Xenopus tropicalis: one gene and its partner. The protein of the gene in region 1 interacts with the protein of each later gene in a biochemical or structural test. Links are inferred from orthologs where the notes say so. Each region holds a gene or a part of one and is shown in the gene's direction. Other genes may lie near its edges.

Region 1 (3,656 bases):
ACCAGCCTGCAGATGATGGCTGGAATACAGTGCCCATCAGTAAGGGCAGCCGTCCTATTGACACCACTAGGATCACAAAGATAACAAAGGTAAAGTCAATGGAAATGTGCAAAACTGTTTTTCTCTCTGTTAAGTAGTAGATTAAGAACTGTTGCTCTATGAAGAAATGGAAGACTGGCAGTTTCATGCTCTGAGTGAAGTCACTGAGTATTGGTTATATTGTGTTGATCTCACAGCTTGGTGCTATTGATTCAAATCAACTGCTTGCCCCAGGAGGACGTCTGAGTTGGGGTAAAGGAAGCAGCGGAGGAACTGGAGCCAAACCAGCAGAAACAGGTACTTAGAATTTTATCCGTCATAGTATTAGCTATGAACGATTGAGTAGCGTGTAACCATGTCTTCTTAAACTGCAGCTCCAGAATCTAGTCGGCCTGCGACCAGCACCTTAAACAGGTTTTCTGCCTTGCAGCAGTCTTCATCTGCTGAGAGTCAAGATGCTAGACGGCCCTTGCATCGGTATGGACTTACTGCAGTGTATTGCTGAAAACTTTAAAAAAAATATAGTAGTGTTATATATGCATATGAAACATTTCTTTAAGAGCTATAATGAGTTTGCACTGGAAAACTGCATGGTTTGTAAAGAGCATAAAATAGGAATTTTCTTCTTTCATTTAGCTGCAAAAATGATTAATATAAATATGCTTCTAGTAATGTTTACTCTTTGCTCCTTGAGTTACCTGATTCTTATTGAAGAAAAACTGAAAATATTCTGTACCTGATACATTGTTCTGTGATTTTTACTGTTATGGGGAGAACCAGTACCACATTCCAGACACATTATGTAACCATACCTACGGATTACACAGATTGAAAGGAAACCGTGATGGTCTGCCTGTGATTGTAGGAAATAATTTCCCATCTCCCTTAGGTTCAGTGTAATGCAGTACCTCCCTCATGTTGATTCACTGGATACTGGGACTGCTGCTACTTTCTAGATAATCTGGGTGCCAAACACTATAGTAAGCAGAAGGATCTTTGGAATCAGGCATATCTATGTTAATATTGCTCATATTTATTTCTGGAAGTTCATTGAGTGGCCACGCACCTTTTCTACATAAATTAAGCTGAATGAGCAAATGTCAGAAAGGGGTTCTATTTTCTCTGTAATCCAAATAGCATAAAAAAAGACTCCATTTTAATCAAATAATTTAAAAAAATAATTTTCCTTTTCTTTGTGTAATTGTTGGGAGCTGGCAAATGCATTATCGTTTCATGTATATGTAGTCAGGACTAACAGTGCAGAGAATAATTATTTTTGACACCAGTTAGTTGGTTACTTTTTGTCCCATGTATGGAAAGCTTTATGGCAAATCATTTTGTTTGTAGGGGAAGTTCTAGTCGGGAACGTTCTGAAAAAGATCGTGGAGACAGATTTGATAGAGGTGAAAGGTTTGATAAGGGAGAACTGTTTGATAGATCTGACCGTTCAGATCGAGCTCGTCCTCTTCTTACAAAGAGAAGCTATAGCAAGGAAACTGAGGACCGTAGCCGAGAAAGAGAGGCCCATATACCACAGGAGGCTGTGAGGAAGGTGGCAAGTATGACTGAGCAGCGGGACCGCAGCAAAGAAAGTGGTAAGTGAACTCAGCCTTTTGCGTTTATTTGTTGTTATATCTGACAATAGGTTGTCTCTTGCTGCTTATGTTATCTGTTGTCCTTTAGGGTTCTAACTGTACCATTGATACTATCTTGGAAAATCACCCATAGAAACAGATTTCTTGGGGATGATACTGCTTTTCTTTAAAAAAACATAACAAAACATAATTTTTATTATGAAACCAGGTCCTGGAAATGGCATGGACCTAATTACATTGTCTCATTTCCTAACTCACTAGCATTTTACATGCCACCTCAATGATCACTTTGTGCTTAGGGCAAAAAATTACTTACAGGACATTGCTGAGATACAGAACACATTGTTCAGTGTGCACATGGGGTGGATTTCAGCACATAATCATGTAAGCTATGAATTTTTATACCAAACTCCACCCCTTGTGGATTGACAGGCCAGTGCATGGTCCATCAGTGCATACACTAAAGAGGGCAGATGGGAGCCCCTCCCATCTGTGTGTGTGTGTCGCTGGCAAAAAAGAGGCAATAGGAGAGGAATAGGTCTCTGGTAGGGCTGCAGTTTTGTCTCTGGCTCACCTTTCTGCTTCTCACTGTATCATAATTATATTGCAGTGAAAAAAGAAATTCCAGCACCGACAGCAGTGGTTGCCTCATCAAAGCCCTCTATGTCTGAGGATGAGCTAGAGAAGAAATCTAAAGCCATCATAGAAGAATATTTGCACATTAATGATATGAAGGTGAAGTAGCCTTCTCTTTATTTTCCTATCCTATTGTAATTTTTTCTTACAGGGTTTTAACAAACACTGTGTTTTGCAGGAAGCTCTTCAGTGTGTAGTGGAGCTTAATAGTTCAACGCTGCTTTTTATCTTTGTGCGGAATGGGATTGAGTCAACACTAGAGAGAAGCACTATTGCCAGAGAGCATATGGGTCTCCTTTTGTACCAGTTAGTAAAGGCAGGAACTCTGTCCAAGGAGCAGTATTACAAAGGGTATGTATGCCACTGTAAACACTGTGAATATTTAGGGAGTGTATATGTACCATTGTTCTTTGTTCATGCTGTGTGAAGTATCTCTGCCACTATAAACGTTGCACAACGTGCTTATAGCCTTTTATCAATCGGTAGTAATTATTTTTTCCATTCAACTCTGTCCAATAGGCGAATAACCGAATCCGTCTGTGGATTCGGTGCATCCCTAATTATTATTAATGGTTGAAGTGCACTTTGGATCAGAGTAGAAGTCTCACAAAGCAAATTGCAGAATCTAATATACCATTTGTGCTGCCTAGATAGATCTGTGCCTAATTTAAATGCCGTAAAGATAAATTTTAGGGTAGAGTGGATCACACATTAGAAAATAATGGCTTATGAAAACAAAATCAAACCACATTGCAACCAAACAGTTATGTGGTGCCTTGAGTAAATTGAGATTATTCGCCTGCCCTAGAGGAGATTAATAGCGAGTTTACTAATCTTGTCTGTCGGGGACCTAAAAGGTAATGATGAAGTAGTAGATCAAAGCAAGTTGGTAGGAAATATCGCTGTCTCTTAAAACTACTACCCAGTCAATCATTCGGTGAATAAAGCTTTCAGATTCTTCTGATTTCCTTTCTCTTTGTCTCTTCAGTTCAGTGTTTTTTGTTTGTGTTTTTAGGGTGCTTGAAGTTCTTGAAGTAGCAGAAGATATGGAAATAGATATACCCCACATCTGGCTGTATTTAGCAGAGATAATCAGCCCTGTGCTGCTAGAGGGGGGGATTCCGATGGGGGAGCTGTTCAGGTAAGATTCATCTTTTTTGTGATGACTCCATAAAGTGGCTCTGTGGACAAAGGAGGTAGACGGGTTTAACAAGTATTTATAGAGAAGTTTTGGGTACTACTAACGATTAGGAGGGGTGGATAAGGGAATTCAGTTTGCCTTGGACTGAGAAGTGGGTTAGAATTTCAGTTCCTTTATCTGACACCTTTGTGCTTCCACTTCTAGAGAGCTGACCAAACCTTTAGTGCTCATTGGCAAAGCTGGAG
Region 2 (3,434 bases), on another chromosome or scaffold:
AGAAGTGCTCAGGGACTTGGATTGTAAGCTCTGTGGGCCAGAGTGTGCGGTATTAATATGCTCACTACCCATCAGCAAAGAGGAATCTGCCATAGAAGTGCCTATAATGTGTAGCTCCACCCCCCGTCACTGGGCAAGGGCATGTCACGTGGCATCGCTGCTTATATCTGGCGGGGGCAGAGAAACCTCCCATATTCATCCCAGCGCTGTGCCCCCATGCCTGCTGGCTGGTTCATGCTGTGGGCACAAATGCCAGGAAGGGGGGATCCAGCTGTGAGTGGGGCGGAGCATACATTGAGTACGTTGTCGCGTGGCGCCAGTGCAGCACTCACTCCGCTCTGTATCCGCAGCCCCTAAATACATAAAGATGTTCGTGTTGGATGAAGCCGACGAGATGTTGAGTAGAGGTTTCAAGGATCAAATCTACGACATATTCCAGAAGCTGAGCAGTAATGCCCAGGTAAGTGCCCGCAGCCTCTGCCTGATTGGCCTAACCTCCCCGGCTATAGTCCCACCCTCACGGGGCACGTGCTGAGCAACAACATCCTGCCCCGAGGTACCACATTCCCTCTGTCTTGTGGTTTGTACAATGCTGCACTGATTGGAGAACGACTCCCTGTACAGCCAATGAGAGCTCATGCCCTCCCCCTGTCATTTCCTCTCAGCCAATGAGACCTTATGCCCTCCCCCTGGCATCTATTGGCCAATAAGACTGTTCATGGTTGCCCCCAGACTCACTTTCCAATGGGGGCTCAGTGTAGTGATGATATCCCATGCGTGTCATCTGATGCCCACGTCTCTCTCTGCCCTTGGCCTGCGCAGCCTGCGTCCTGCGGGTTGGGTTTGGCTAGAGCAGAGGAGTCTGGGAAATGATCTGACTGTCTATCTGAATACTTGCCCCCCTTGGAACATGAAGAGGCAATTGGCTTGGTGCTGGGCAGTTAGTGGCTGCAGATTAACAGTGTCTTCTCCCCCAGGTGGTTTTGCTCTCGGCCACCATGCCCGCCGACGTGCTCGAGGTGACCAAGAAGTTCATGCGGGACCCCATCCGGATCCTGGTTAAAAAGGAGGAGCTGACCCTGGAGGGTATTAGGCAGTTCTACATCAACGTGGAGCGAGAGGTAGGTGCCTTCCTCTGGGTTCCATTGGCCCTGGGGGGTGGAGCAGTCGTTGGGATTGCACCATTACCCCCTCATAGGGGAAAGCCAATAGGAAAGCTTTAGTATATGGGGGGGGGCGAGGGTGGAAGGTGCCCCGTCACTGGGCAAGGACTGGTCTGTCTGTGACTGTGCTTCTTATATCTGGTGGGGCGAGAGCAGCGGCCCATATTCATCCCAGCGCGGCTCCTCTGTGCCTGACGGCTGGTTCATGCTGTGGGGACACTTGTAGTGAGGGAGGGGCCAGGCTGGATGGGGAGGAGCTTCCTTTTGCTGAACCCCTTTTGCCCCCCGATGCAGGAGTGGAAGCTGGACACATTGTGTGACCTGTACGAGACACTGACCATCACGCAGGCCGTAATCTTCATAAACACGCGCCGGAAGGTGGATTGGCTGACGGAAAAGATGCACGCGAGGGACTTCACTGTCTCCGCCCTGGTGAGTTTTGCCATCGGCCGCCTGTGGGGGTGCCATGATTGCACCCAACCCCCGTCACTGGGCAAGGACTGGTCATGTGACTATGCTTCTTATATCTGGCGGGGGGAGAGGAAATGATCCCATGTTCATCCCAGCGCGGCCCCCCCTGTGCTCGACAGCTGGTTCATGCAGTGGGGACACGGCCCCCTGGTGGTTTCTAGAGAGGAATTCTCACCCCCTTGTTCCCCCCCCAGCACGGCGACATGGACCAGAAGGAGAGAGACGTCATTATGAGGGAGTTCCGATCTGGATCCAGTCGGGTTCTGATTACCACAGATTTGCTGGTGAGTTGGTTGGTTCTGCTTGTGGGGCAACCCGCTTGGTTCTGCTTGTGGGGGTGTTCGCTTACAATGTGTTCTGCCCACAGGCCCGAGGCATTGATGTCCAGCAGGTCTCACTGGTCATTAACTATGATCTGCCGACCAACAGGGAGAACTACATCCACAGGTAAGTGGGCCGGCTCCTATTGGGCCAAGGGTATTCCCTCTCTGGCCAGTAGCCCATGCTGGTGTCAGAATGTAGACCCTTGGTATAGTAACGTCCATGCTCCACCGCGGTTCATGCTGCCTTTGTGTTCCGCAACTTAAACATGGCCGACACGCCGCTAACTGTGGCTCCTCCCCCTCTAACCTGTCCTGTTCCTTTAGGATTGGCCGAGGGGGCCGTTTCGGTAGGAAAGGAGTTGCCATTAACATGGTGACAGAGGATGACAAGCGCACGCTGAAAGACATAGAGACTTTCTACAACACCACAGTCGAGGAGATGCCCATGAACGTGGCCGACCTCATCTAACGCCCCCGCCGCAGTCGGAGGGGCAGAAAAACCCGAAAAAAACAGAAAAAAGCATAAAATGAAAATAAAAAGTCGGCCCCGGCTTTCTTTGGGGCATCCGCTGAATTATGGGGGTGTATAGAGCAATGACCATAGCGCCCCTGAGTGGGCGTAGCCTCCACTCCCTGTCACATGATCTGATTTTCTTTCCAATAAATGTTATTTTGAGGTATTGTGGCCGTAACCTGCATCCGTTGTTTCTTTCCTTCTGAAGTGAACACTAAACGTCACTTTTTCCCACCAAATCAGTGGACCAAAGTCCCCCCCAGCTCATCCCTTTAAGATCCGGCAGCTCAATGTGAGTTTTTTCTTTTTTTTTTTTTTACAAAACTCCCCAAAATTTAAAAAATACCATTTTATTTGCTTTTTCTGTATAGTATTTATTAAATAAAAATTTTTGCAACATAGTTTTGTCTCCTGTCTTAAGGCTTCACCCCCCTGCCCCCCAATAACCCCCCTTGTTTTATTACCCCCCGTGTAGGCGCTGTTTTTGGTGGGAAAGGATTTTCGGGCTGTGCTGCCCTCGCACGACTCAAGCGTCTATAGATAGATTGCGCCGATGATGGTTCCCGAGCTGCAATATGATTGGCCGTGGCACTTAACGCTTTAAGTGCTTGGCCATATGTCTCCCAGGTGCTCTGTTGCCTAGCAACGCATATTCCCTGTAGGGAAATAACATGGAAATGTATTCTGTGAATTGGTGACTGTGCCGAGCGTTACTGGGGGGGAGGGACATTCTCAGTTGGCTGGGAGCCCCCCTGTATTGCTCAGCCATGGTCCCTTATTAGGAGGGGCCCCATTTCCCTGCCCTAGTTACCCCATGCCTATTGCTATGTAATTAGTGCCCCTATTCCCATCAGCAGCTCTTCCTGCCCCGGTACATAGGGCATAACCTGCTAATGGGGCAGTTGGAATGTTGGTGGGATCAGGGTCTTTCTGGAAAACGCGAGCTGTTGGGAAATGTGCTTG

Evidence for each region.
Region 2: the proteins of eif4g1 (region 1) and eif4a1 form a complex in vitro, tested with the Homo sapiens proteins (3 studies listed by IntAct, with this or other methods). The link is inferred for Xenopus tropicalis from reciprocal best matches to the Homo sapiens genes EIF4G1 and EIF4A1.

What each region holds. Positions count from the first base shown.
Region 1 is NC_030681.2:99,792,894-99,796,549, reverse strand, and holds part of eif4g1 (eukaryotic translation initiation factor 4 gamma 1), read left to right. Parts: coding exon 1-89; intron 90-236; coding exon 237-336; intron 337-413; coding exon 414-516; intron 517-1,386; coding exon 1,387-1,634; intron 1,635-2,244; coding exon 2,245-2,369; intron 2,370-2,448; coding exon 2,449-2,621; intron 2,622-3,285; coding exon 3,286-3,411; intron 3,412-3,615; coding exon 3,616-3,656.
Region 2 is NC_030679.2:152,585,995-152,589,428, reverse strand, and holds the end of eif4a1 (eukaryotic initiation factor 4A-I), read left to right. Parts: intron 1-350; coding exon 351-460; intron 461-754; exon of another isoform or gene 755-895; intron 896-977; coding exon 978-1,121; intron 1,122-1,457; coding exon 1,458-1,595; intron 1,596-1,828; coding exon 1,829-1,918; intron 1,919-2,001; coding exon 2,002-2,081; intron 2,082-2,281; coding exon 2,282-2,426; 3' UTR 2,427-2,872; downstream 2,873-3,434. UniProt on the Homo sapiens protein: ATP-dependent RNA helicase which is a subunit of the eIF4F complex involved in cap recognition and is required for mRNA binding to ribosome.